Coturnix japonica: one gene and its partners. The main gene of each other region encodes a partner of the protein of the gene in region 7 in a complex. Links are inferred from orthologs where the notes say so. Each region holds a gene or a part of one and is shown on either strand. Other genes may lie near its edges. The genes, in order: TAF5, TAF1D, GTF2B, TAF11, TAF13, GTF2H3 and TBP.

What was found.
Region 1: TBP (region 7) and TAF5 share a complex: the UniProt entries of both Homo sapiens proteins name them as parts of the TFIID basal transcription factor complex. The link is inferred for Coturnix japonica from reciprocal best matches to the Homo sapiens genes TBP and TAF5.
Region 2: TBP (region 7) and TAF1D share a complex: the UniProt entries of both Homo sapiens proteins name them as parts of the transcription factor SL1/TIF-IB complex. The link is inferred for Coturnix japonica from reciprocal best matches to the Homo sapiens genes TBP and TAF1D.
Region 3: TBP (region 7) and GTF2B share a complex: the UniProt entries of both Homo sapiens proteins name them as parts of the TFIID-containing RNA polymerase II pre-initiation complex. The link is inferred for Coturnix japonica from reciprocal best matches to the Homo sapiens genes TBP and GTF2B.
Region 4: TBP (region 7) and TAF11 share a complex: the UniProt entries of both Homo sapiens proteins name them as parts of the TFIID basal transcription factor complex. The link is inferred for Coturnix japonica from reciprocal best matches to the Homo sapiens genes TBP and TAF11.
Region 5: TBP (region 7) and TAF13 share a complex: the UniProt entries of both Homo sapiens proteins name them as parts of the TFIID basal transcription factor complex. The link is inferred for Coturnix japonica from reciprocal best matches to the Homo sapiens genes TBP and TAF13.
Region 6: TBP (region 7) and GTF2H3 share a complex: the UniProt entries of both Homo sapiens proteins name them as parts of the TFIID-containing RNA polymerase II pre-initiation complex. The link is inferred for Coturnix japonica from reciprocal best matches to the Homo sapiens genes TBP and GTF2H3.

Annotation. Positions count from the first base shown.
Region 1 is NC_029521.1:20,669,837-20,673,336, forward strand, and holds the end of TAF5 (transcription initiation factor TFIID subunit 5), read left to right. Parts: intron 1-297; coding exon 298-462; intron 463-875; coding exon 876-1,053; intron 1,054-1,176; coding exon 1,177-1,354; intron 1,355-1,944; coding exon 1,945-2,162; 3' UTR 2,163-3,475; downstream 3,476-3,500. UniProt on the Homo sapiens protein: The TFIID basal transcription factor complex plays a major role in the initiation of RNA polymerase II (Pol II)-dependent transcription.
Region 2 is NC_029516.1:166,172,789-166,177,039, reverse strand, and holds the start of TAF1D (TATA box-binding protein-associated factor RNA polymerase I subunit D), read right to left. Parts: upstream 2,801-4,251; 5' UTR 2,691-2,800; intron 2,371-2,690; 5' UTR 2,358-2,370; coding exon 2,131-2,357; intron 2,046-2,130; coding exon 1,589-2,045; intron 1,462-1,588; coding exon 1,286-1,461; intron 868-1,285; coding exon 807-867; intron 492-806; coding exon 378-491; 3' UTR 1-377. Other genes in the region: C1H11orf54 (ester hydrolase C11orf54 homolog), read left to right, coding at 4,239-4,251. UniProt on the Homo sapiens protein: Component of the transcription factor SL1/TIF-IB complex, which is involved in the assembly of the PIC (preinitiation complex) during RNA polymerase I-dependent transcription.
Region 3 is NC_029523.1:13,188,906-13,192,405, forward strand, and holds part of GTF2B (transcription initiation factor IIB), read left to right. Parts: intron 1-2,924; coding exon 2,925-3,058; intron 3,059-3,500. UniProt on the Homo sapiens protein: General transcription factor that plays a role in transcription initiation by RNA polymerase II (Pol II). Involved in the pre-initiation complex (PIC) formation and Pol II recruitment at promoter DNA.
Region 4 is NC_029541.1:4,152,968-4,156,911, forward strand, and holds the start of TAF11 (transcription initiation factor TFIID subunit 11), read left to right. Parts: upstream 1-1,144; 5' UTR 1,145-1,257; coding exon 1,258-1,449; intron 1,450-1,525; coding exon 1,526-1,656; intron 1,657-1,764; coding exon 1,765-1,852; intron 1,853-2,190; coding exon 2,191-2,287; intron 2,288-3,322; coding exon 3,323-3,453; 3' UTR 3,454-3,944. Other genes in the region: ANKS1A (ankyrin repeat and SAM domain-containing protein 1A), read right to left, coding at 630-850. UniProt on the Homo sapiens protein: The TFIID basal transcription factor complex plays a major role in the initiation of RNA polymerase II (Pol II)-dependent transcription.
Region 5 is NC_029516.1:74,709,029-74,713,019, forward strand, and holds TAF13 (transcription initiation factor TFIID subunit 13), read right to left. Parts: upstream 2,801-3,991; 5' UTR 2,695-2,800; coding exon 2,668-2,694; intron 2,576-2,667; coding exon 2,497-2,575; intron 2,408-2,496; coding exon 2,310-2,407; intron 982-2,309; coding exon 811-981; 3' UTR 363-810; downstream 1-362. UniProt on the Homo sapiens protein: The TFIID basal transcription factor complex plays a major role in the initiation of RNA polymerase II (Pol II)-dependent transcription.
Region 6 is NC_029530.1:4,203,384-4,207,315, forward strand, and holds the start of GTF2H3 (general transcription factor IIH subunit 3), read right to left. Parts: upstream 2,801-3,932; coding exon 2,704-2,800; intron 2,563-2,703; coding exon 2,483-2,562; intron 2,119-2,482; coding exon 2,012-2,118; intron 1,698-2,011; coding exon 1,534-1,697; intron 1,294-1,533; coding exon 1,231-1,293; intron 996-1,230; coding exon 966-995; intron 654-965; coding exon 625-653; intron 541-624; coding exon 466-540; intron 25-465; coding exon 1-24. Other genes in the region: EIF2B1 (translation initiation factor eIF-2B subunit alpha), read left to right, coding at 2,772-2,811, 2,884-2,985, 3,069-3,205, 3,274-3,390, 3,889-3,932. UniProt on the Homo sapiens protein: Component of the general transcription and DNA repair factor IIH (TFIIH) core complex, which is involved in general and transcription-coupled nucleotide excision repair (NER) of damaged DNA and, when complexed to CAK, in RNA transcription by RNA polymerase II.
Region 7 is NC_029518.1:36,557,770-36,561,021, reverse strand, and holds the end of TBP (TATA-box-binding protein), read left to right. Parts: intron 1-160; coding exon 161-328; intron 329-618; coding exon 619-713; intron 714-1,550; coding exon 1,551-1,630; 3' UTR 1,631-2,752; downstream 2,753-3,252. UniProt on the Homo sapiens protein: The TFIID basal transcription factor complex plays a major role in the initiation of RNA polymerase II (Pol II)-dependent transcription.

The DNA of each region.
Region 1 (3,500 bases), on a different chromosome or scaffold from region 7:
GTGAATGTAATTCTTAAGTGAAGACTAGTTCTTTTTTGCAGCCCCTCTGTATTGCTGTGTCATCAGAATTAATCATCAACATTCAAATGTCTCTTATGCTTGACAACCAAGGGTTCAGTTCTTCCCGAACAGTTTATTGTTGTTTACTTCAGTAAAATGCTGATTTTAATGGGAAATACTAAATAGTAGCTGCCCAGTGGAGAGTTCTATGTATCATAGAATTGTTACAGAGCTTATGCAATGACTACACAGTCTGTTAACTTGGTATGTAATGTACTATACTTTCTCCTGTGACAGGAACTACCTGTTGTCCTGTTCTGAGGATGGTACTGTCAGATTGTGGAGCCTCCAAACATTCACTTGTCTGGTGGGATATAAAGGACACAACTATCCAGTATGGGATACGCAGTTCTCTCCTTATGGGTATTATTTTGTGTCGGGGGGACATGACAGAGTGGCTAGGTAAGAAATTAGATGAGTTTTCTACATACCAGTTTTGTGGTGAATTAACTCAGAAAGTGATTATTGGCTGATATAGTTAATAACCTATTACTGGAAATAAATTTTATTACACACGAATTAAAATACTAAGCAACTATTTTAATATATGTTTGTTTTCCTTTTCAACACACATCAGAGACATCATCCTCCTATGTGGTCATTTCATGTTAGAAATATTTTCTCCTGTTGTTTAATAACCATGACAGAATGTCCTTTATTTCTCCCTTCCCAAAAGCATAGTTTTCCAGAATCGATCCTTCTAATTCAACAAATTTACCAGTAAGAAGCCACTCATTAATTATTTCTTTTATTACCGTGCAACAGATTCTGAACTTCATTAGTGCTCCCTTTATTAACAAAGCTTTTCTTTTCAGACTGTGGGCAACAGATCATTACCAGCCTTTACGGATATTTGCTGGCCACCTTGCTGATGTGACGTGTACTCGATTTCACCCTAACTCCAACTATATTGCCACTGGCTCAGCAGACAGGACTGTACGGCTGTGGGATGTTTTAAATGGGAATTGTGTAAGAATATTCACTGGACATAAGGTAAAGGCACATCACCAATGTGACTTAATTTCTGTGGTGTGATTCTGAAGAGTAGCATTCAGAACAAGTGCAGATTGACTAATTAGCTCGTTTGGCTTTCCTCACTGCAAATGTCTTTTGTAGGGTCCGATTCATTCATTGGCATTTTCTCCTAATGGACGATTCCTGGCTACTGGAGCAACAGATGGCAGAGTTCTGCTGTGGGATATTGGACATGGTTTGATGGTTGGAGAACTGAAAGGGCACACTGACACTATCTATGCGCTCCGATTCAGTAGAGATGGGGAGATCTTAGCATCAGGTAAAAGTCACTGGAAGCAAACATGTTTCCATTGTGCTCCATCTGTTTGAAGTGGGATTATGTAATGATAATGTACCTTAAGCTGAGTAAGGCTAATTAGAATCACTAAATCCTGAGTGAGCCGCTACCACAAGAGTGAATGGTTCCTTCAGCTGACCAGTGCTCCAATGAAAGCAGAGTCCACTGGGCCTGCAAAATACTGAGCTCTTCCCTCTATCAAAGGAAGTATCCAAGTGTCAAGAAAAAAGTCATTATGTGACTTAGAATCATAAACATCTGGTGGAGTTGGCATGTAGGCCTAAGGTTGTTTTGCCTTTTCAAGTGCTGGCTGATAGAATGGAAACCCAGCTGTTCTCAGAGGTGCTTCTTGGCACTTTATCTGCAGTGCATTCCTGTTAGATGGCAGGTGATGGCTTTTATTCCTGCTTTCACTGTGTTAAAGGCTTGTTTAAAAATGCTTCGTTGCAGGATGAGTGCTTAGTATTCAGTTATGAGCTGTTCTGCTTTGTGAGTTTTAATTCCTGTTGTGTTAATTTGCTGTCTAGCAAGGAAAAGACTTTTAAATGTTACTTTCCTTTTTTCCCTTGTAGGTTCAATGGATAACACAGTTCGGCTGTGGGATGCAGTGAAAGCATTTGAAGACTTAGAAACGGATGACTTTACTACAGCCACTGGACACATAAACTTGCCTGAAAACTCCCAGGACTTGTTACTGGGTACATACATGACCAAATCAACTCCAGTTGTACACCTTCATTTTACACGCAGGAACTTGCTGCTGGCTGCAGGAGCCTACAGTTCACAGTAGATCAGGAAGACGTAAGACTGGCTGTGCCAAGTTGTTGCAGCAGTGACCTCAGAATGTGAGATGAAGAGGAATGTCTTGTATGGGTGGACTTTGTTAGTCCATTGCAGGAAAAACAAAACTGTAAACTAACTCAAGTGACATCTTCTCTATTCTGCTCTCGTAATTCACATCTTTTGCTCTCACAGTTTGAAAATGCTGGAGACTGACAAGACAGTGTGAATTTAAAGGAATTGTTTCATGGTGCTTTTGATAAATGTATCCATATGTATATATATACATACATACATGTATATATATGACAATGGCTGTCTCCTCTCAGAGATGGTATTGAGCTCTGCTGAAACTTCTGGAAAGTTAACAGCCCTGGTCTGTGTTCTCAAATGAGTTTTTTTAAAGCACTTAATATATGGTTTGCTAATGTTTAATCAGTCTCAAACACAGGTGAAAACTTCAGACTCAGAAAAGGAGAATGTAGTTTAACTCACTATAGCCTGGGCTGGGCAACAGGAATGGTGAGAATATTATAGCAACAAATAGGGCATTGAAAGAATAAGCCCAACAGGCAGAGGCTTGTGGGGAACTGCAGAGAAGTTACGTGTAGTTTTTAAGTACCAAGTCCTGAAAAGATTTCAAACTTTGTGCTCTTTTGAGGTATTAGAAATGGAGATCTTGTTATTCTGTTCTGACAAGAAGCTGCTGCTGTGCGATAAGGAACGCAGATTGCAATGTGAATTCTTTGGAGACACGCATCACCCAATCTTAAAAACAATATTCTTAAGCCCCCACACGTTCTATTAGATTTGAAGAGCTTCAAAAACCTGCATCCTTTGAGAAAACAGTTTAACAGATCACACTAAAGCTAGTGAAGGATCAAGAAACTGAAATCTGAATTCAAGAAAAAGAAATCTGCTGGCTCTCTACTGAAGATGCAGAAAACCAAGACTTGACGTTTCCAAGGTAAACAAAGAACTACCTCCTGTCTCATCCTTTTTCTGACTAAGCCTTGGAGTAAAGAGGCATCGGGGCATTAAATGTCAAAGGAAAGGTGGAAAATTCATAAGGAAGCTAATCCAGAAACATTCTTTAAAGAGAAATGGTTAAAACTAAACTATGATGGATTTGATCTGTAAAGGTACATCAGAACTTCCTAGTAGTCAATACGATCAGCTGGACTTAAAATGGTAGTGAATCAAACAAGTTACCTAAAAGCATGTACAGCTTTGAGAGCTTGAAGAAAACACTGCTGCATTCTGCCTTTTTATTTTGTACAGTTTTATACTTTTGATAGTATAATAAATACTAAAACCACACAGCTTGTGTCTGTAGACTGTATGGTGG
Region 2 (4,251 bases), on a different chromosome or scaffold from region 7:
ATGAGCAGGACTCCACACCCACCTCACTGCATTACCCTGCCAGAACCCCACTCCTACATCTAGTCTGAGCAACCGCAACAAGTTCCCATTCATGCTACAAGATCAGCAGATAGTCCCTGTTGTGCTGAAGGGCTTCTATCTCTGCTCAGTCACCTTCGTAAGACCCCACTCTGGACTGAGGAGGGGAAGAAGGGAATAGAACTTTTCATCACACTGCTAGTTGTTTTAAAGCAGCTTGAGATTATGATATTGGATTTAGGAGAATTAGTTTATTCTACACTGCTTAATTACAAGAGCTGGAACTCTTAGTCCTGTAGCTCTGTGACCTGCTGGTTCCACAAGCCAGGCTGCGGAAGGTGCTATTTCAGCAGGATCACTTAGCAGCAGCATTCTTCTTCAATCACTCCAGCTGACTTTGCTCGCTTTGTTTTGGCCTTTGATTTCTTCTTCTTGTTGGGAATTTTGCTGCTTATAATGAAACAGCTTTTGTCCTGAGAACAAAAAAAAACAGCATTCTCAAGTCTGGTTTGGAGACACTTGAAGTACCAATTTATTACTAACTTCCTTTAGGAAGTTTTATGGACGCTTCAGAGAACTGCCCAATTTCCGCACATCCCAACATAATTCCAAAGAGCTCAGACTTCTCTCAAACCAATTTCCTCTTGTACTACACACCAAAACCACACAAACTGGTTAATTCCAGATCCAAGCTCAAGAATTAAGTACTCAAAGCATCATCTGTTACTTATTTAACACCTCAAAAGAGAAAACAGGTTATAGTTTTCAAATTATGGATGTTTACTCACCACTACTCTGACATCAAAGTCTTCTGGATTATCAGAGCCCAAGCAGTTATCATCGTCATTGCTGAAAGGCAGGAAATTCAAATCAAATCTGTACTTCTACAGTAGCGCAGCATAAACAAGCTGTTCTCCTAATGCAGCACCACTTCCTCATAATGCATATGGAAACGCTACAGCTTACAGGTCTGGGATGCTCCCACTTCTACATGAGGCTACACTGAGAGCCTGTGGAACAAGATCCTTATCTAAAGCCATGAGCTGTTACTTATTTTCTCTCTCTGCTCTTTTAAGGATGAGGAGAGAGCACACAACACAGCAGTGCTAAGCCAACAGAATCCATTACTGAGTTACAGAAAAATCCAAGAGGTATTTCACCAATTAATATAATGCACGTGCCAGACAATAAAGACAGCAATGCTGAACACACAGACTTTAAGTTGAGAACAAAACAGCAACTTTTATACTACTGAAAATGAACTTACTTTGTCTCCTGGATAGGAGAAATGGGGCCTTTGTCATCTAAATATTTATGTTTCCGCGCTGTCAGACATTCCCTTTCTAAGTCTTCATTTGCTTCAAGGGATTTCAAAGCCTTTTTGAGGTGTTCTTCAGCTTTAAGCATTTCAACATACTGGAAATATCCCTTCGCAGCTGCTTGCTGCAAAAAAAAGGAATAGATCTTAAATACAAACAAAGAAATGAACCATTTATATAATCAACCAGACTGTAACATTAAATGACAGCCTTAGGTCAGCTGGTTCTCTCCCACAAAACACAGGGCTCACCTCATAGCTAAGAACCATATTTACGGGAATATGTTTCCTCCCATAATGTTTTTCAACAAAAGGGAACTGAAAGCCTGGATCCCGAAGCCTTCTCCTTCGCTCCTGAGGCGGGGCTGTCATGGGCCGATTCCCACCACGCTTCTTTGGGGGTTCCGAGCGTCTCTTTGTCTTCCGTGAAACACCGCTCCTGTATCTTCGGTGCGCAGCAGTTTTAAACTTCCTTCCTCTGAAGTGATAGGCAAAAATGGCTTTCAAATCGAGCTTGGATTTCCTCCTTTGGGAGGGTTCAGGTGGCCTCACCGGGCTCTCAGGGAGCAAAGAGTCAGGACTTTCACCATCAGACACTCGTGCATCAGCTCCTGCTTGTTTCCTTGAAGGCTGCGATCTCCTCTTTTGCTCCGCAGAGGGAGCAGTGCATTTCCTAGAGCGTTTGCTGCCCCGAGCAGCTGAAACATCACTGAAAAAGAAACGTGTACATTCAACAGAGCACATACGTTTATGAGTCTTGTTCGTAAGTGATTCTAAGGAACCAGGTAACTCACATTTCTGAATCGCTGCTATCCACCTCAGATGAAGATGTATTTGTACTACTAGTCTCATCTGAAGACTCCTCAGGAGTGGCGTCCTTCTGCCTCGAGCACAAACGTCTCTTCCTTGCATTCACTGCACGCTCAGGTATTTTAGATCTTTTTCGCCTCTGAGTGGATACGAGACTCTGAGCATCAGGATCATCAGAACAAGAGGTGTGGGATTCATCTGTATCACTCATGTTTTAATCTGCCCTGAAAGAAATTAAATATGTTTTACCCCAGGCAAAGCTTTTCACATCCAAGGAACGTATGTGTCTCCCTCACAGTAGCCCCCTCCCGCCCACCATCCCGGGGCGGACATTTTGCGCGGTTCCCGCCGCTCTACCACAGCCCCGGGCCGCCATGAGGAGCCCATTTCCCACATCCCACCCGCCCCAGGGCCTTCCTTGCGCTCCGTCTAGGAATCGCTCAGCGACAGGATGTGCTTTGATTCTACCCCAGCCTCACAGCGGGTCCTCACACGGCGGATGGCAGCGGATTCAGCGCACCGCCATCACCAACCCAACACTCACCTCACGCTTCACCTCCGGAAAGGGCGCGCAATGGCCGCCCCCGAGCTTAAATAGCGCTCGGCTCTCGCGAGAGCAGGACGGGGCGGGGAGTGCCGTGAGGGGGGCGGGGATGGGCGGCCGCAGGTTGTGGGCATTGGCTGCGGTTCCCGCTCGCTGTGGGTCTCCAGAGGGTGGCTCCTGCAGGTTTGGCTCCGGGACTCTTTTTAGACTCTTTTTACCCTCGTTTACGTGGCCTGAATTTCCCTTCTCGCTTCTCTGCTGAGTTCATCTGCACGTTGGCGCTGTCCCTGTTGGCTCTGTGGCTCTGGCTGTGCTTCCTTCTCCCCCCAGCCCCCCGCTATGAAGCGTTTCTATCCAGCCATTAACTTCTCCTTTCCGTTTTCTGCCCTTTCCTGCTTGGAAAAGAAAAGCCGCAGTGTCTCGACGTGTCGGTTGTTTCCTGCCATCCCGTTTGCAGCGTTCCTGTGACAGCTTCCTTCACAGAAGGGAGAATCGCCCATAGAAGCGGACGAGCCCCCAGCTAAGATGGAAATCACTCTACATAGACAGCTTGCTTTCTTGCTCTATTGCTTGTTACAGGCAGAACTTGAGGTAGCTGAACTTTGAGCTCAAAGTCTCGCTTTTTCTTCCATGAAAGGTTCCTATTTTGTTACGTGCAGCAGGCGTGTGCCTAAGGAGTTAATGATTTCTGGGGCTGGTTTATAGGTAGCATGTAACCAGCTGCTTGTGCCTGGAGCTGCTGGTTTGCCCTCGTAGCAGGTTATGCTGTTGCATGACTGAAATATAGCTCGTTTCAAAAGAAGCTCCAACATTTCTGTTCTGAACAAAGCTTGCTGTGAAAGGCTCTGAGCTGATATAGAGTCCAGTGCTGTACAACTTGCTGCTGCTTTGGTGCCTTTGTTTGGCTTTGAGATGCACTACAACCTTCTTCCACTTTGGAAACACGTGCCTATAAGAAACTGGGAGCCAAGGTTGAAAGTCCATCATAGCCAATGCTGGAAAAGTAAACATTAAGGTAGTGAAGACCGGGTAAGGCAGTTATTGTGCTTAGAAAAGCGTGGCTTTGGGTTTACAAAGGACAGATAACTGACCTGTCCCTTGAATTAGGTTCAGCGTATTACATATTTTGTCTGTACTGAGATGGAAGTTTGAGGACTAACAGATGTAATGCTCTGAAGCAGCTGCAGAGCTGGTAGGCACACCTGCTTCCAAAGCACATAGAATCATAAAATCACCAAGGTTAGAAAAGACCTGAAAGATTATTCAGTACAACCATCCACATATTACTAATAGCTGCCACTAAACCACTAATAGCTGCCACTAAACCATGAGAAAACACTAATCTTGAAGCTGTCAGTTTTTCCCTCAATGGTATAATAACAATTCTACTGTTATCTATGTATTCTCGGGTGAATTTGACAGATAAATTGCATATTGAAAGCAGTGTGTTTTTAATTACTAAACCATTATCTTTGTTGACAGATCAGTCACTTCTGCAGTGTGTTACACTGTAATTTCTAACCTGAAGAAATCAGAACCAAGCAGGCAATGGCCAAGGTAG
Region 3 (3,500 bases), on a different chromosome or scaffold from region 7:
TCATATGCAGAGCTTGATTCGGTGTACATCTACCATTACGGCTCCTCTTACAATGATTTAAGCCACATCATCTTGAAAATGCTTCAGGACTGAATATGAAAGATAATGTTATTTGAGGCTTGAATTCCATGCTATTTGTTTTGATTAAACCTCCTCAGTTCACAGCTGTGTGTGTGTATATATATGTGTGTGTGTGTATATATATATAAACATATATGTATTTTTAATATAAGAGATAATAAAAATGCAAATAGAGAATAAGGGGCTCATGTATCATGAGTATTTCAAGAGGATGTGCTGCTAAAGTAGCTGCTATTATTTCTCCGAAAATATGTAATTGTGAATGCAGAACTTGTCAAGTAGGAGTGTGTTCCTTTGATAAACTGCTTTCTATTTTTGGGGTGAAATAAACATGCAGTATTAGTGTTTAATAGACGTGCTAAGCTAATTACTAAAAACTGTTGAAAATTGCATTTTAATTTTTTATACTGAGCTGAGTTTACTCCTACATTTCTGGAGCACTTGCTTAGATAAATTAGGTTAGAAAAGTAACTGGTCTGAGGTCTTCTGTTCTGAAGGTTTTAGATAGTACTTTTTGGGAGCTTTTGTTACTCTGCTGTTTGCCACTCAGGTGCATTTTCCTGGTGATTTAGGAGAGCACATCAGTAGGGTATGAGCCAGGAAATGCGTTTCAGAGCTTGAAATTAGCAACCAGTCTTCAAAGCTGATTCTCTGAGTGCTGTTGTGTTGCACTGCTCTTGTAAAACTGACCTTGGTGTTTAAGGTTTTGTTTCTGTCACTTACATGTGGGGCTTTATTACATACATACCAAGGCAACAGTTCCAAAGTGGTTTTTATGTTTTTAAAGGTTAAAAGAGTACTTAGTGTCATGCTTTCTTTTGTGTGTGGGACAGGATAATTAGCTGCTTGTAGTTGAATATTTTCCATCTATGGAAACATTTGGCCTATTTGTTCCAGTTTTGTTGTTATTTCTAGCTTGTGTCAGGCTTCTATGCAAGGCTTTTGCAAGGTGGAATGTGATTCCTTGAATGTCTGTAAGTAAAGAATATCCAGGAAAGCTGTTTTCTTGCAATAGCAGATTTCTTGGCAACACGAAGGTGTTTACACACTGCATCTTAATTCCACAAATGCTTTATATTCAAAGATTTGTTCTACTTAATCCTTTCTCACTCTGAAATAGCAGACTCAATTCTCTGTTTGTAATGTTTGCCAAAGCAGGCAGTGATATAACACTTTTTTGTTAGAGCAGGAATGGTTCATAACTCACAAGAGGCAGATCCGTGAGTGAGTCATTGAGGTCATTCCTACTTGTGTGGAAAAAATATTACATCATTGCCCTGTGTTCAGTGTTCTATTTATACCATGCCAGAATTTTAAGTACATTTTGCTTTTTTTAGATGCTGTAAACAGTACTGGGGGGTTGTCTTAAAGTAAAGTCACTGCTAGACCATAGAAGGTGCATTACTGAATCAAATATTTACAGAGAGTCCAGGAGCCAGAGGAGCATGCTGTCTGCTAATGAAGGCTCACAAGACATGAGCCTCTAGCAGGAAGAATAGATCTGTGCTCTCTTTTACTTTGTGGTGTTCTTAGTCTTCTAACTTTTGTTACTTCCACCTCTGCTACCTCAGTTTTCATTAGAGCATTAAATGAACGGGGAGCATAGCTATGAGCATGTCGGATGAATACTAGTGAGATTACTTCTGTCTTAAATGTATTCTTTTTAGGTTGGCCTGATTTCTTGGATTCATTTACACCTTTCAGTTTCAGGCACATTCCTTGCATCATCGTGTGTTAAGAGTGAAGTTCCCCATTCAGATTCTTTTCCACAAGTAATTTTGCAGTGACACTCTGTGTGTTGCTCCTGTATTTTTTTTTCGAGATTCAAATTGCATGTTATCATTGTTTGCTAGGGAGTACTTTTGTCTGTCTGCTTACATTTTTACTAGGTTAAACTTGCCTCTCTTGTTTCATACTTGGACTTCTGTGCCAGCAATCTTTCTTGCTGTCAGTACTATTTATTTTGGTGAATGTTGCCTTCACAACACTTAAACTTTGATAAAGATAATGAATTTTCCCTCAGGTTTAGCAAAGCAGAAGTGACGATTGAACTGGTTCTGATATTCTGCACAGAACTGTAATGCTTTTTTTTCTTGATGCTTTTCTCTACATGTTCCTAAAAACTCTGTGGTATTGCTCTGGAGACAACACCTTTGAGGTGCTGCTTTTACCAGCCCTGTGAATAGAATGAGCTGCACTACAAGCAGAACTCTTTTTTCAATCATTATTTGAATCATTGTGATTACTCCAGATTTTTTTTGCCTGTATTTATGTGGGTTAGAGATATTTCTCAGTTTGAATAGATGCTGCTGGAAACATTTAGGTGAATTTGAGAGGACTCCCAAGAAAAGCCTTTTTCTTAAGGGTCAGGAACAAAACAGAGCTGCAGAATGTTGTCATGGTGGTTTAGAAGGTTCGTTTCTGAGCCTGGAGCTCATTCACAAAAGTGATGTGCTACTGCTTGATGAGATAATGCTTGATAGCTAATTCAGGAGTACTTCTGTCAAGTGTCAAAGGTAACTTACTTGTTTGTTTGTCACTGACAATGTTCACTGGACAACTGTGAGCTCCTTTGTGTATTGAATAACCTGTGATATTCTTTAAGGATGGCCACAATTCTGTTTTCTGGGTATGTTTATTTAAACTTTCTCCGCAGCTCCTGTTATTGCTTTCTACTTAGATTGAAAAACCTAATAATTTTGGTGTGTTGACCTGCAGTTACATCCTGCTGGCACTTGGTAACAGCCTGCATTTTATAACTGAGACCTGGGCTGTGTAACCATGTTTCAGAAGCTGTTTCCAAATGTTATGTTGATACAAACTGTTGCTTTCTGTAACCACAGGTGATCGTGTCATAGATGTAGGGTCGGAGTGGAGAACTTTCAGCAATGATAAAGCAACAAAAGACCCATCTCGAGTTGGGGATACCCAGAATCCTTTGTTGAGTGACGGTGACCTGAGTACAATGATTGGAAAGGTAAAATATGAAATATTAAATGTTACTAAGCTTGAACGTTTTTGTGTCTGCTACGTATTTGTGTGTCCATAGGGAAACTATTCAGAGAATGCATTTACAAAGAGATTTAGTCAAAACTTGAACTCTTGCATTTCAGTAATCTGTAAAATGTGTCTGTTTCTGGCTGACAGCAGGAAAGGACTGAACTTTGTGACAAGACGAAAGTTTGCAGTGTTGCTGGGTTAGTTGCCACTCCTTGATTTGCAACATGAACCAGCTTTTTTGTAATAATGTCTAGATCAGATTAATATTGGAGACGTGGAGAGCTGCATGCGTGTTGTGCCTGCTCTCTCAGTGAATATTATGTGGAAACACTAAGTATAGAATCCTTCTATGGTGTAAGTATTCCAGAAGAAAGTATTCAGTGTATGTTTGGCTTGAAGTTTTGTGATACAGCTATGTC
Region 4 (3,944 bases), on a different chromosome or scaffold from region 7:
CTCCATCCCACACCATGCCATGGGAGCTCGGACAGCCCCTGTCCCACAGCCCTCCCACCCATACATTCCACCCAAGCACAGATTCCAACCCACAGCATCCCCTGTACCACAATCCCTTCCTCACCCCAAGCACACCAACAGCCAGTCTCAGAAGCCCCAAAATCCCAGCTCATCATTACAAACCCACTATCCCCACACATCTTGTGTCCTCAACAACGCACCCCTATCAACCCCACAACCCCTACACCCACACCTCACCTCAAGCAGCACAGTCCAAGTCTCCCAGCACCCCAACTTCAAGTCCACACACCTTCAATCCTTCTCCACAGCCCTACAGCACCCCAACCCCATGCACCCCACAGCTCCTATAAATCAATGCTCACCTTGAGAGCCTACAAACTTCACACACTGCATCCCCCACAGCCCTACTCTCCCCTCAGCTTTCACCCACAGCTCCCAGCCCCAAACTACCCCCTGTGGGGGGCTCCTACCCCACAGCCCTCACCCCACAACCTTCCCCATCCTCCTCACCCCACAGCCTCAGCCCTGTACCCACCTCTAACCACAGCTCCCCAGCTCCATGGGCCCACCCCTCATAGCCCCCATCCCCCTCATTGCCCCCCACTCACCTCAGCAGACTGGACAGCGGGTGTCCCACTCCTCCACCTCCTCCTCCACCTCCTCCACCGCCGCTTCCACCACCTCCACCGCCCCCGGATCCTCCTCCGCTCCCTCCTCCGCTTCCCCCGGAGCCGAACCCTGAGCTCAGCCGTTTTCCCGACAGCAGTTTCTCCACAGCGGGCAGGTTCCCGGTTCGTGCGGCCTCCAGCAGCTCCTGCTCCTTCCCCATGGCCCGGCCCGGCCAACGCCGCCGCCTCCCGCCAGGCCCCGCCCCGGAAGAACGCTGAGGGGGCGTGGCCTGAGGCCGAGTGGGCGGGGCCTGAGGGGCCGTTTGTTCTCTATTGTGGGCGCGGCCTAATAAGTGGGCCTGGTCTGCTGTAGGCCCCGCCCCTGGTGGATCTATATTCTCATCCCATTTCTCTTCATTATCAAATGGAACTGATACAAAATGACGCGTAGAGCCCGTCAGCACGGCTATAGATGGGGTGGATCCCACCCTGCTGTGCCGGGTCCACACGCAGCTCACAGCTCTGTAGGCCGCACGGCGCTCAGCCCCGTCGCCATAACGACAGCAGCGCCCCCTGTCGGCCACCGTAGCGTGACGTCATCACCAGGCGACCGTAGAGACGAGGCGTAATGGCGGATCCCGGTGAGCCGGGCCGGGAGGAGCGGGGGGGCGGCACCGAGCGGGAACCGGCACCGACCGCTACATCACCACACGGCGGGGATGGGACCATGGAGGAACCGACGGCCACGGACGGGGTTATAGAGGGGGACATGGAGGCTGGAGCCGGCCAGGAGCTCAAGGCGGAGGCGGCGGATGGGGAGGTGAGGGCTCAGCACCGGGTCGGCCGGGAGATGAGGAGAGAACGGGGCCGGTCCATAACGGTGTGTTGTATCGTAGGGGAGGAGCGGGGACGGGATGGACGGGGAGGATCCGAACCTGCAACAGGCGGCAAAGAAGGTGAAGGTGGAACTGAAGGAGAGGAAGGAGAAGAAGCACAAAGTGGACGAGGATGAGATCCAGAAGATGCAGTGAGTGCTGGGGAATGGGCTGCGCTGCAGGGCGGGGTTAATGGCCATGAGCAGCATCAGCATCGTTTGTGGTTCAGCTCTGTGAGTGATTCGTCCTCTCCCTTCCAGGATCCTGGTCTCCTCCTTTTCCGAGGAGCAGCTGAATCGCTACGAGATGTATCGCCGCTCTGCCTTCCCCAAGGCTGCCATCAAACGGGTACGACTTCAGTTCGTGCTTCAGCACAAAGCAAACGGCTCAGCCTGGCCACAATACCCCCCCCCCAACCTCCCCTCCCCAACATGGCTGTGGGGGGACAGCGATGCAAAATAATTGCTAGCACTGATCTGTAGCTGAATCAAACTAATCTCAAATTGTTACAGCTACCATGTGCCCAAAGCTATAGGAGCTCATTCCAAAGCTCTGTTACTGTTGTTTCTGCTCATTTTGTTCACTGGTGCTCAGTATTTGGCTCCAATCACTAAATATAATTTGAAGTGTTTCAGTGTTGCTGCATGTACCTCATTTGACTGACTGCCTGTTCTTTGCTTGTGCAGCTGATCCAGTCCATCACGGGCACCTCTGTCTCTCAGAATGTGGTTATTGCCATGTCTGGCATTTCCAAGGTCTTCGTTGGGGAAGTGGTGGAGGAAGGTGAGCAAATCACATTATTGTTCAGTAAAAAGTTAAGGACACAGAGAGCACATCGCTTAAAGCAGAGAGACATGAAACAAAGCTGGACTTTTGTGGCTTCTTGTCCAGGTGTGCAGCCTGGACAGTGCCCTGCAGGGCCCTCCTGCTTTCAGCAGCAGCAGAAGACAACTGTTAAAACTTGGGACTTCTTGCCCCTACATGAGCAGGCTGCAGTGCTACAGCAAAGATCTCATTAATGCTACTGTGGACAAATTCAGCTTAGAAGGGAAATGCGTTATTTAAGCCTCTTAGCCTGCAAGATTCTTTGTTAATGCAGTGAGCTGAGATCTCCTTGGGATAGACTGTGCAGCGCTGACCCAGTTGTGTCCCTGCTCATGCAGAGGAGGAAAAGATTCTTGTTTTTTGTGCCAGCCACTTAGTACAGGCTTGTCACACAAAACACACAGCCTGGACTTGCAGGGGTTGCCATCAGCCAGGATGATGCAGCTTTTGGCACTTCTGCTGCTTTGACTGTGTCTGCAGCTCTGTGTTGCCAGAGGCAGTCTGGATAAGCAGCTTCTCTGCTGTACTTATTGCTTCGTGTCCTTGGCAGGAGATCTGAATTATACTTAACAGAAGTGAAGCACAGGAACTGCCCTTTAAGTCAGCTGTAGGTGGTTCCTTCCTCCTATCCCTGCTGCACACAAGTCCCCAAACATACTTCACAAGCTAGAAGTGGTTTTAAAGTAGCAGGTTTAAGATGATGAGGCCTTTTCAAGCTCTTGCATGACTTAGTCTATTCCATAGCAGCTGGGACGTGGTTACAAAGCAGCTGATTCTGAGCTGGTATTGATGCCTCAAGGACTAGTTTTTCTTCAGAGAAACACCCAAAGCTGTTTCATCCCTTTGTACAGATAAAACATGAGCTTTGAACACTGTTACCTGTTGACTTTATAATTGAAGTTCAACCAGTGGGAGGCTTTTCAAATGTCTCCTGCTGGGAGAATGGCAGAGCTGAGCTGTCCTTGTTCACGTCAACTCTTGTCCTTTGTTTAGCACTGGATGTGTGTGAGAAGTGGGGGGAGCTGCCACCTCTGCAGCCCAAACACATGCGGGAGGCTGTGAGGAGGCTCAAGTCACGAGGACAGATCCCGAATTCCAAATATAAAAAGATCATCTTCCACTGAAGTGTCCTGGGATCAGCAAAGAGAAGACAAGTTCAAACAAGCTTTGGTTGTGCACCATATGACAGTTATGAGACAGAAGCATTCCCCTCTCCCGCTTGCAGTCTTCTCCAAGGAAGCTGTACCAAAGCAAGCTCAATTCAACGTGGATTTCAGTAACTTCAAGCATCGAGGTCTTATGTGGATTGCTTTCAGTTTACAAAACTACCATGAGTGTTCTCAGCACGGCTCATGGGGCAGAAGGACAGGGAGAAATGCTGCAGCAGAACCTGCAGTTGCTCCCATTAAACTCCCTGCCAGCAGCAGCACATTGTGTGCAGACATTCATGTAGGCATCCACGGGGATGTTTCCTGCAGTAACTGCTGAAGGCCAGTTTGTCAGCTTAGTGCTGTGCAGGCTCAAGGAGGAGGCAGATCCTTGGCCTGGTGCCTCAGGGTCCTCAGATCCAGCAGCCTGGGAAAGGAACATGCAACGTCCTCAAGTGTATTTACCC
Region 5 (3,991 bases), on a different chromosome or scaffold from region 7:
GGCAATGTGTAGCTATTCCAGCACATACTTATTCCTTGCTCTAACATTATTTCACAAGCTTAGTGCTTTCCATCGAGCTCTTATTTGTAATTACCCGGTGATCCTAATCTTGTGAAAAAAGTTCTTTGAATTAAGTCAGATCAGTTTTATAGTGGAGCATCTGCCCAACAGGGGCAAGGCAAGGATCTGAGTGCAACTAAATCTGGAACAGGTTAATTTCAGTTCTCTAAGTGTACAGTAAAAACAGGAGAGCTGTGTCTACTAGGACAGAAACAGCACTTAGAGCTCATGAGATGCTACAATAGCCAACAATTTTTATGTGCCCTGCGTTAACTGATCAGTGTACGTGTAGTTACGAAGAGTGGGCACAGACTCGAGTTGCTTTATTCAAGTTTATGTACAGAGCAGAATTTGTAATAGTTTGGGCTTGACAACTTTGTCCAGTTAACCAACATCTATTTTCCAGGTTTCCTGTCAACAAAATACCTCGACATAACCAAAGTAGAGAAGAGCTTGTCATGGGCCTTGTAGATTCCCAATTCAGCTGTCCTACTGCAGACTTCTCACCTTTAAAATATCTTTAGAGCTCATTTCTCAAATTCCCATAATGGTATAAAAACACGTTAGGAGCGCCATGTGTAATCAGTTAACATCTAGCTGTTTGAATGCCTACCACAAGAGGCTGAGAGGCAGAGCAGATAGCAGCAATGATCTCCAGCTCAAATAACCCCTCAAAGCAACACACATGACATTTCTTCCTCTTGAGCAACAGGAGCCCACAGCACGCTCCAGTCAAGCCTGTACACAGAATCAAGATCCATAGTTTGCTTCATCAAAGGCCTTTCTGGCACGTTTCAGTTCTTCATTCATAGTCAGAAGGTCTTTAACTCTGGCAAACTTCCGGGGGTCCTTGCGGATTAGGAAGACAATGTCCTCAACCTGTACACGGCCCTGCCGTCCAATTGACATGGCTTTGTGTGTCTGCAAGAGAGAAACATCAGTGTTCCTCTGCCCCTTTTAGTTTTGTTTTCAGATCTCAATCCTACTGTATTTACTGACATTTTAAACAGTCTAGAAGGCAGCAAGTGCAGGATCTGGGCATTGCCATCCAAGTGCAGTACCTCATATACACTGGGTACCACTGCACACACAACAGGAATGTCTTTGGAACTGAAGGCAGACTGGGGAGGGGACACCTGATCTGCAAAGTGCTTGAGGAGCAACAGCATCAAGCAGAATCTGCATGCAGTATGCAATACCTGCATCAGAGGACAGTTTTTTTCTATTGAGAATAGGCAAGGCTAACTTCTCATGAGAAGGGATCCACAAACAATACCACTTTTCTTATTCTTTTTTTTTAACATAAGTGCTCAAGTTGTATCCAAATGTCTGGATCAGCAGTGGCTTTAGGGCCCAGATGGCTGCATTTATTTTATGGTGTGGCATTTCCATCTGTGTAAAGGCACTGAGAGAACACAAGAAGCACATAACATTTCAAAGCTGAGCCATCTGTCAGCAGAACACACAGCGATGCCACTGGGTGCCTCAAAGTCAGCTATGGATTTTTTCCCCTAACTGTTACTTAAAGCCTCCGAACGTTGCCCTAAATCCATGTGGAGTAAAATGTGTTAATTCTATCTTAATATCGGAAGGGCAATCACAGAATCACAGAATGACCCGGGTTGGAAGAGACCTCAAGGATCATGTAGTTCCAACCCGCCTGCCTGGCAGGGCCACCAAACATACACCTTTACTAGATCAGGTTGCCCAGGGCCCCATCCAACCTGGCCTTGAACACCTCCAAGGACGGGGCATCCACAAGCTCCCTGGGCAGCCTGTTCCAGGGCCTAACCACTCTCCTAGTGAAGAACTTCCCCCTAACATCCAACCTCTTATATCTGAGTTTAGATTTCTTCCCAGCAGCACACGAGTTTTTGCCTGGGATAATGCTGAAGGAATTTCATTGAAGCAGAGGGAGCCAAAGCATGCTCCCTACACCAGGTTGCACAGGTAGGAGTCCGAGTGGGTCTTGAACAGCTCCAGGGAAAGAGACTCCATAATCACTCTGGGCAGCCTGTTCCAGTGCTCCGTCACCCTCTCCATGTAGAAGCTCCTGCACACATTTGTGTGGCTCCATGCTCCAGTTTGTGGCCATTTCCCCTTGTCATATTGCCACATGCCGCTGAAAAGAGTCTGGCCTCATCCCTTTGCCTCCCACACCTTAGATATTCACAGACATTGATCAGATCCCCTCTCAGTCTTCTTTTCTCAAGGCTAACAGACCCGTGTTTGGCACACCACTGACTTACCATTTCAGTGATAAATTCTATCACCAGGTCCTCAAGAATATCCACAGATTCCGTGTAAGGGTTCTGGTCATCTCCAAATCCGTACATCATGCATCTTACTGCGGGAATACACACAGCGTGAGGCCTCCATCTGCTCAATGCATCAGTAACGCTCCCACCCTGAGCTCCCCCCCCAACCTGGACTCACGTTCTTTAGAGAAAAGCCTCTTCCTCTTGCCCTGCCCGCCGTCCAAACCGCCGCCGGCTTCCTCGGAGTCCTCCTCGAACTGAAGGAACAAAGCGGAGGAAGGAAGCCGTTAAACGGGGAGCTCCCTCCCGCCCCGAGGCTGAACGCAAACAACCCATCCCCGCCGCTCACCGGCGCGTCCTCCTCCTCGTCCGCCATGGCCGCCACAGCCCGCTACCGCTTCCGGTTTCCCGTTCCCGCCTCCCCTGGGGGCCGCCATCTTGTTGTGCCGTGTCTATAGCACCCAGGCTGTTTCCCACCCCTCACTCATCTAGTGTGAGAAATGCCTTGGGAACTTAGGCTATTCAAAAGATTTTTTCCTTAGGAAGACGAAGGAGAGGAAGAAAAAGGTGCAGCTGAGGTACAGGCACTGGAGAAACAAAACTTTACTGGACAGCAGAGTCAAGAAGAATCTATGGAGCACTTGCTTAATTCGATTTTATTTATTGCCACATCTGTCACAGAGCTTCCAAATCTTGCACATAACAAACTGAGGCCTTGAAGATAACAGCTTGGACTACACTGATGCTTTTGAAAGACACTGGTTTTAAGATACAAACACACAATTATTCCCAAAACATTGACTTGAGTGTTTTCCACCTCTCTAGATCCTACTGTATTTATTTCTAGAATCAGACACTCACAGGCCAGTTTGCTTTGGTGCATTTTGGGATTAGAAGCAAAACGGTAGCATGACATGCTTGATCTCTGCTTACATGTAGAAACTGGAGATCCACATCTCCCTGCTGGTTTCTTCATCCTGCCACTTCCTACATATCTGCTGGAAACAAACTTCAAGCCTAATCTGAGAGTTACAGGACATTCCTTAACGTAACAAACAGTAGAAACACCACCTTCAAGCCTCAGAGTGGGTTATGAAAGAATCACTTTTCCTTGAGATATAAACATTTAATGTAAGTTAACCTCAGCAACTGTATACGCAGAATTGGCAGTCTTAAGACAGGACAAGATGTGTGCCAGAGTGTGACACAGGCACTTTATTAGCTTTGGTCTAAATTGCTGTGTACAACTACTGCTATTTAATGGCAGTCCTTTTTGTACATTCTGTACCAGATGTGGTTTCCCTTTGACCTTAGCCAGGTACAGTGGCTGCAGGACCTCTGTGTTGTGCTTCAGCTCCCAGGGCAGGACAGATGTAGGTAATGGACCCATCTCTGGTAACTGAGCTGAGCGCAGCTGCAGAACTCACGTGGGATTTAAAACAGAAGGTTCATGCAACACTGAGTGATGATCAAGTGCAGGAGGAGAGAGTTCTGCTAGGTGTTGTTCATTCATCACCACTGTTTCAAGCCAACAGCCAACCAGGAGGCAGATCCCATAAAGTAGGTTTCCTTTTCCACATCTGCCCGTAACAGGGACAACCAGATGTAGACAAGCAAGGCATGCCATGCTATCACGCTGAACCTACGGAATGCACAATGCAGAGGAGTTACAA
Region 6 (3,932 bases), on a different chromosome or scaffold from region 7:
GACACAAGCATCAATCAAAATACTCTGCAAGTAAAGAGACCCACAAAAAAAGGAGTTCAGCTAGGAACAATGTAACCTCATCCATGTTTTACAGCTGCAGGACCACCACAGCAATAAGAAAGCTCATTCCCTTTGTCAGAACAAACATCCAGAATTCTAACACCTCCCTTCTAATGTATGGCAATAAAAGAACTATCAGCAAAGGTATCCTGTACACAGCACCTGCAAGGCGGGACAGAAGGCTACCATCCGTTCTTTCACAGCAATCTCTTATTAGTCCAGCAAACCCTTCACGTTAAGATGTAGCAGTAGGATCTGACTTTTAACCTCGGTTACCTTTCACTCTTGGCATGACAGTCTTCACTCCAGGGATTCTTTAACCAGATCACAGCCATAATGTAAATGAACCATTTTTTTTCACTCTTTATATGCTAATAAAAGATAAGATATATCAAATAGCTTCACCTGTTTCTGTGCTGCAAAGATCACGTTCATGAAATTCATATATTGTAATGCACTGTCTTCTGCAGCTTTTATGACCTAAATAAAACAATAGAGACTTGTTAGCCCATATAGCATTGATGTATTTTAAGGCTAATAGTAGACTAACAACAAAGCTCTTACCAAAATCCTTGATTTCATTTCCTGATTGGCTGATTAGCAAAAAGAAAATAAAAGCACATGAGTACATCCATTCCCTATAGTTGTCCCTACAGTTCTACGATACCTGACATTTTAACTAAGGTAAATCCAATCAATCTAACATCCAAAATGACAGATCTAATGTCTCAGACAATGTGAATGTAAATACTGATAGTCCCAGTGGTATAGAAATACATGTAGAATTATCTGTAGAATAATTCAGACGTTACGAAAGCGGGCCTATGTCATTTATTGCCCCAAAGCAATTAGGTATATTAGGTATATAGGTTCAAATACTCGTGAAAGCACTCTAAAGGCATTACCTTTCACCTCTTTGCTCATCTTGTTAATATCTACATCAGACAACATCAAGGAATCCACACTCTGTTCATGGAAGCACCAGCAGCACCCATGCTATGTACTCACTACCTCAAACAACACACGTTGTTTGATCCACAATTATAAGGCAAATGTTTCAGTTTTGAAAATTATTATAGAATGCACTGATAGTCAAGACTGTATTGAAGGATAATTAGTATGACAAGAAACAGACAAAAGCCTTTAAAAGTTCTGCCATCAAAAGGATACAACAAAGTGCTTTGGCAAGAGACCCTGCTAGGAGAGTCTCTGTTTGCTGGCCCATCATGTCAGCTGCAAAGCAAATTACACAGATTACTCTGATACACAAAATCATTCACTCAGCCTGATCTCACTGAGTGCTACAGTTCAATCTTCGCCATGTTGAATCACTGCAGAGTCACCCAATATCAGCCATAAAAACTCACCTACTCTAAACATATTAAAATCCAAATGAACCAAAGAAATTCCTGCAACTCCCAGAGAACATTTTGCAGTTCTGTGTTATGAAACCCAGAATTTTTATTCCCTTACTTTTCGTCATGAGGTCTTTAATCTCTTCTGCAATTGCATCATTGATTGCAGTTAACAATTCATATTTTCCATCCTTGCTGCCAGAACAATTGGATTCCACGGAGTTACCACCATCTCCAAGGAGATCCGCAGAAGCCCAACGCTTCCCAGGGTACAAGAAACGGCTAAAAGAGAGGAAGAACAAAGTGTTACGGTTTGCTTTTCAGCCTGTAAGGAAGAAATGACATCAGCTGACCACTCATAGACAGCGATATTTTGAAGTAAAACTCCAAATAACTTTAATACTTCAGGCATTAAATAGGGTTCATAAGGCAGGAAATTGTTGTGACACAAATGGTTCACCTCCCTCCTTTCAATACGTTGATGCATTGACTCTGTCTTGCTTTCCATAAGGCATTAAAACAGACCATTTCTTTCTCTACCAGGAGGCAGGGAGTGGACAACACGTCACACTCATGGTGGTGAGCGGCTGCCGTACCTTTCCTGCGTGTGACTGGCCATCACGGCCAGTTTGTTGGTGCGGCTCATGAACAGGTGGGAGTTCCCCAGCACCATCGCTGCGTCCACACATTTCGACAGGGTGAACTGCCAAGGGAAAGAATAATTCAGCAGGACAGCACCTACAGGAACCAACCGCAGAACTGCACTCAGAACTAGAAGGTGCAGGGCTTCCTTTCTAACGGGAGGCATCAGCTGAGCAAAGCTCTGACAAATGCATAACTGTAGAACCAGAGAATCATTTGGAAGGGACCTTTAAAGGTCATGCAGTCCTATTGCCTGCAGTGCTCAGGGACACCCACAGCTCCATCAGTGCTCACAGCCCCATCCCCTGGCTGTGGGTGTCTGCAGGGATGAGGCACCTCCACCTCCCCGTGCACCCTGTGCCGGTTTGATGATACTTTTCACGTTTCCCACCGATGTTTCCTATAAAAGCGGCCCCGGGACGCACCTCAGCCTCCCCCTGCGCCCGCTTCCCCCACCAGATGGGGTTGGTGTCGATGACGATGACCAGCAGGCTCAGCTCCTCGTCTGCAAAACACACAGCGGGTCACTGCAGGGGGCCGGGAGCTGCCGGAGCCGCGGGGGCTGAGCTGAGCTGAGCTGAGCTGAGCTGGACTCGGCCCGGTTCATCCCCCCCCCGTCCCGACCCCCTCGGCCGGCTCCTCTCACCCGCTCCCATCCCGCCGCTGGTGTCGCCCGCTGGTGTCGTCATACCGCACATCATCGCATTGCGCCGCATGGCACCGAGCAGGGCGGGGGCAGCCATGAGCACGGACGGTAATGTGTCTCTATGGAGGGTGTTGTGGGGGCCGGGCTGAGCCGAGTGTGAGGCGGCTCTTTGCCTTTCAGACCTGATCGAGACCTTCAGGGCGCAGCTGAGGGATGACCCCGACGTCGCCTCGGCGGTGGCCGCCATCCGCGCGCTGCTGGGCTTCCTGCGGCAGGACCGAGGTGGGCGCCCATCCCCGGCGGCCGGACACGAAGCGATGTTGGCCCGGCCCCGATTGATCCCCCGCTGTGCCCTGTCTCCATAGGAGAGACCATCCAGGGCCTGCGGAGCAGCCTGCGCGATGCCATCGACACGCTGTCGCGGGTGGACTCGTCCGTGGCCGTCAACTCCGGCGGGGAGCTGTTCCTGCGCTTCATCAGCCTCACGTCGCTCGAGTACTCGGTAAGGAGCGGGCTCCTGCCGGCCCATCTGCTGCAGGGCAGCCGGCAGCAGCGCTGTGTCCTTTCCAGGACTACTCCAAGTGCAAAGAAATCATGATCGAGCGCGGGGAGATCTTCCTCAGGAAGGTTTCTCTGTCCAGGAACAAAATCGCCAAACTGTGTCATCCCTTCATCAGAGACGGAGCTGTAAGTACAACAAGGAGCTGTAAGTACAACAAGGGCTGCTCGTGTCCTGGCTCTGCTGCCTGCGCTGCTGGGAAAGCAGGGGGGTGGTGTTATTATTCCTGCCCATCTCACAGCGTGGCATCCTCTCCTAAAATCTGTAAATACGAGCAACATCATAGAATTATGGAGTCATTTCAGTTGGAAGAGACTCTTATACCTCATGTAGTCCCACTGCCTGCAGTGCTCAGGGACACCCACAGCTCCATCAGTGCTCACAGCCCCACCCCCTGACCATGGCTGTCTGCAGGGATGGGGCACCTCCACCTCTCTGGGCACCCTGTGCCAGTGCTTCACTACCATCATAACTAACTTCTTCCTTGTAACCCATCTAAATTGTCCCTCTTTTAGTTTGAGACCATAACACCAATGGACACTGACAGAAGTAAAAGCCCTGTTCATCCTAACTGAAATGAAGGTTTTAAAGCTCAGTAAGAAGTAACATTTAATCTCTTTTGACAGAGGATATTGACACACGCCTACTCACGAGTGGTCCTCAGGGTGCT
Region 7 (3,252 bases):
CAAACCAGTAGTAGTTGTTCATTTTGGATGTAAACATTTTGCAACTCTCCTGCAACACACGCAATGTTTCTTTCCCAGTTAAATATTTGTGGCTTGGTGCTGTTTGCTTGAAGTAGTGCTTAATAAGGGAAATAAGCTGGCTCTTTTTTTCTCCCTTCAGCGAAGAACAGTCCAGACTGGCAGCAAGGAAGTACGCAAGAGTTGTTCAGAAACTGGGTTTTCCTGCGAAATTTTTGGATTTTAAGATTCAGAACATGGTGGGCAGCTGTGATGTGAAGTTTCCTATCAGATTAGAAGGATTGGTACTCACACACCAGCAGTTCAGCAGGTAAATGAAGGTTTGCCTACCTTTCATTCTTGCTGTGTTGTGACTAGCTTAGAGCGGCATCTGTTTAGATTGTTCCCTTACACCAGAGAGGATGCAGCATCTTTGTTCCTATCCTAGCTCTGCCTCTGGAGTAACTGATGTTATTTTCATGGGTAGATATTGGGCAGCGATTCTTTGCTACTCATCCCAAATGGTTTACATCTGCACTGTCCATTTCTGCAGCCCTGCAGATGAAGGGCAAGGACATTTGTCTGTTGGCACGTTGAAACACTGTGACTCTTCTCTTACAGCTATGAGCCAGAATTGTTTCCTGGCTTAATCTACAGAATGATCAAGCCAAGAATTGTTCTGCTTATTTTTGTTTCTGGAAAAGTGGTTTTAACTGGTAAGTCAATATTTTCTTCCAGTAGGTTAGATTTAGACTGCATTAGAAACAGTGCTCCCACAAGTATGCAATTTATTAGCTGCTCTTCTTCAGAAACAACAGTACTGGGAAAGGAACAGACAGCACAGTATTTTGTGGATGAGAACCCACAGAGCAAACCACATGTATTTGGTTAAACCATATAAGCAACCATCTTGAATCCTGATGAAGAATGGCGGGTGCCCAAAAAGAGCCTATCTAACGTTCCCAGCAACATCCATAAGTCTGCTTCTGTTCACTGGGTGCGCGTGACTGAGCTCAGTGTGTTGTAACAGCTTGGTTGGAGGCTGCTGCCATTTCCCTTTGATGCAGCAGCCAAAGAAGGGGAGATACCCATGCTCTGAGGCTTCCTTAACCTTGGGGATTCTGCCTATACTCTTTCTTCCTTTTCCCCCTTCACTGATAAATGAATCCACAGATGAAAGAAGGAACATATACCTGCACTATGGCCTCTGCTGGCCTCTGCTTCAGTCATCATTTCCTTGTTTCCCCAGATATTTGCACTGTTGAATAAAACTGCTGTTGAGGCCTTTCTCCATAAACATCCTATGGGGCTGCGCTTTGCAGTTGAGTGTACTGAGAAAACATGCTTAGAAAATCTCATTTACAAGTATGTCATAAGCATGAAGATGGTAATGAAACAAACTCTCAGGCCTTCATTTATTACCCTTCTGTTTATTCTAATAATGTGTGTTCTATAGGAAATGTCTATTTAAAGGAAGAATTACATGCAGAAATAGAGAACTGTTTGGTTCTGAAGAGAGAGAGGGAATTAAGTCATTTTCTCTCTTCTTGCAGGTGCTAAAGTTCGAGCAGAAATCTATGAAGCATTTGAAAACATCTATCCTATTTTAAAGGGTTTCCGGAAGACAACGTAACAGTTTCTACATACTGCAGAGAAATTGGGGGGTACATTTAGAAAGGCATCGCGTATGGCACAGCAGTAACAAGAGATGGACTTCAGTGAAACTGCAACACCAGACTTGGACTATTTCCCAGTTAGTGCCTATTTCCCTGACACTCAAGGGGAATTGTTTTATCGATGATGATGTCTACTGAGTTACTGTGAGTTGCTTTGTTGGGCTGCTCCTTGGGCAGTCCCTCCGAGTTTTATTTATATTCTAGCTTTTAAATAGTTTTAATGCCAGTTCTATTAATAGAAAATTCATAAATTGGTTTAAAAGATGAACGCAACCGTGTCACTCAGTGTATAAACCACTTGAGTTGCCATGTATATATGTTTTAATTTCCTTCCATTAAGACCATGGTTTTTATAATTTCCAAAGTTAAGCTTTTAAATTCCTTCAGTTTTCAATTCCTTTCGGTGCCAGACACATTCCCTCTTTCCAGTATTAAGCAAGGCAGAATAAATTTATTAATGAAAACAGCTCACTGTACATATATATAAATATATATATATATAATATATATATATTCCTCCTCTTTTCTCCTTCAGCTCCACATGTACAATAAACCCTGTTTATACAATTATGGGAACTGTCTTAATGAGTTTTACAATTGCACAGCTGGGAAAGTGAAATATATGAAGAGGTTCTTTTCAGTTTAATCTGGATTTTTGACTAGCACACACACTACTGTCATCTGGAGAAAATCTGAACAACGCTCTGGCTTGCTTAGCAGTAGTCATATCCTTGGCAACATTCAGCCCGATTACTTCCAGTGCACTAACAGGAAAGAGAAGACTGGCTACAGGAGTTTGTGTTCAAGTATGTGTTGCCTCCCATTCAACAGATGGGATTTATGCAAGTCTTACACAGCCACACTTGAGTGAATTGGAACAAAGGATTCTTGGTTAGCTTCTAAGATTTCTTATAAATCACTTTTGTATTTTACCAACTATGACAGTCTCACTATATTAGTGTTCATATAAAATGTCAAAGCCCTTCCAACTGGAGTCAGTGTGTACATAATCTCCCCTTTGAAGTGTGCTTGAAGCTTAATGGGCTGAGAACTAAGAATAAACTTTTTTTTCTCCAGTACATTTCCAGTAATAGCCTTTTTATGACTTGCACATTCTTTCAAACAGCTTTTATCTAAAACTAACCCAAATGTAACCATGGTCTCTTAATTAAAATGATGTTTCATTCCAGATAAGTAGTTATGGCTGGCTTTGCTACCGCACCATATGCAAATCCTGAGTGAACTTATTAATTCTTAATCTTTGATTATTGCTGTAGTGGTGCACGCTATGCACCGCTATTAGCAGGTCTTTCAATAACTGGTTTAAATGATCTTAGCAGGAAGTTGATGTACTTACCTGGGCAGGGCTACATAATTAAACAAGATACAGCACACAGCAGTGATGCAGTATGTGGGTAAGCTGGTCCAGTGTTCATCTGTATCGCCATCTGTGCTGCTGTAGCATCTGCAGAACTGTTAACTATGGCAGGAAGACTTTACACACTATATCATATAGTTTTCATTCCAATCAGCCAAGCTGTGCTGTAGTGACAGGATGGTTTGTGCTATTCCAGGAAAC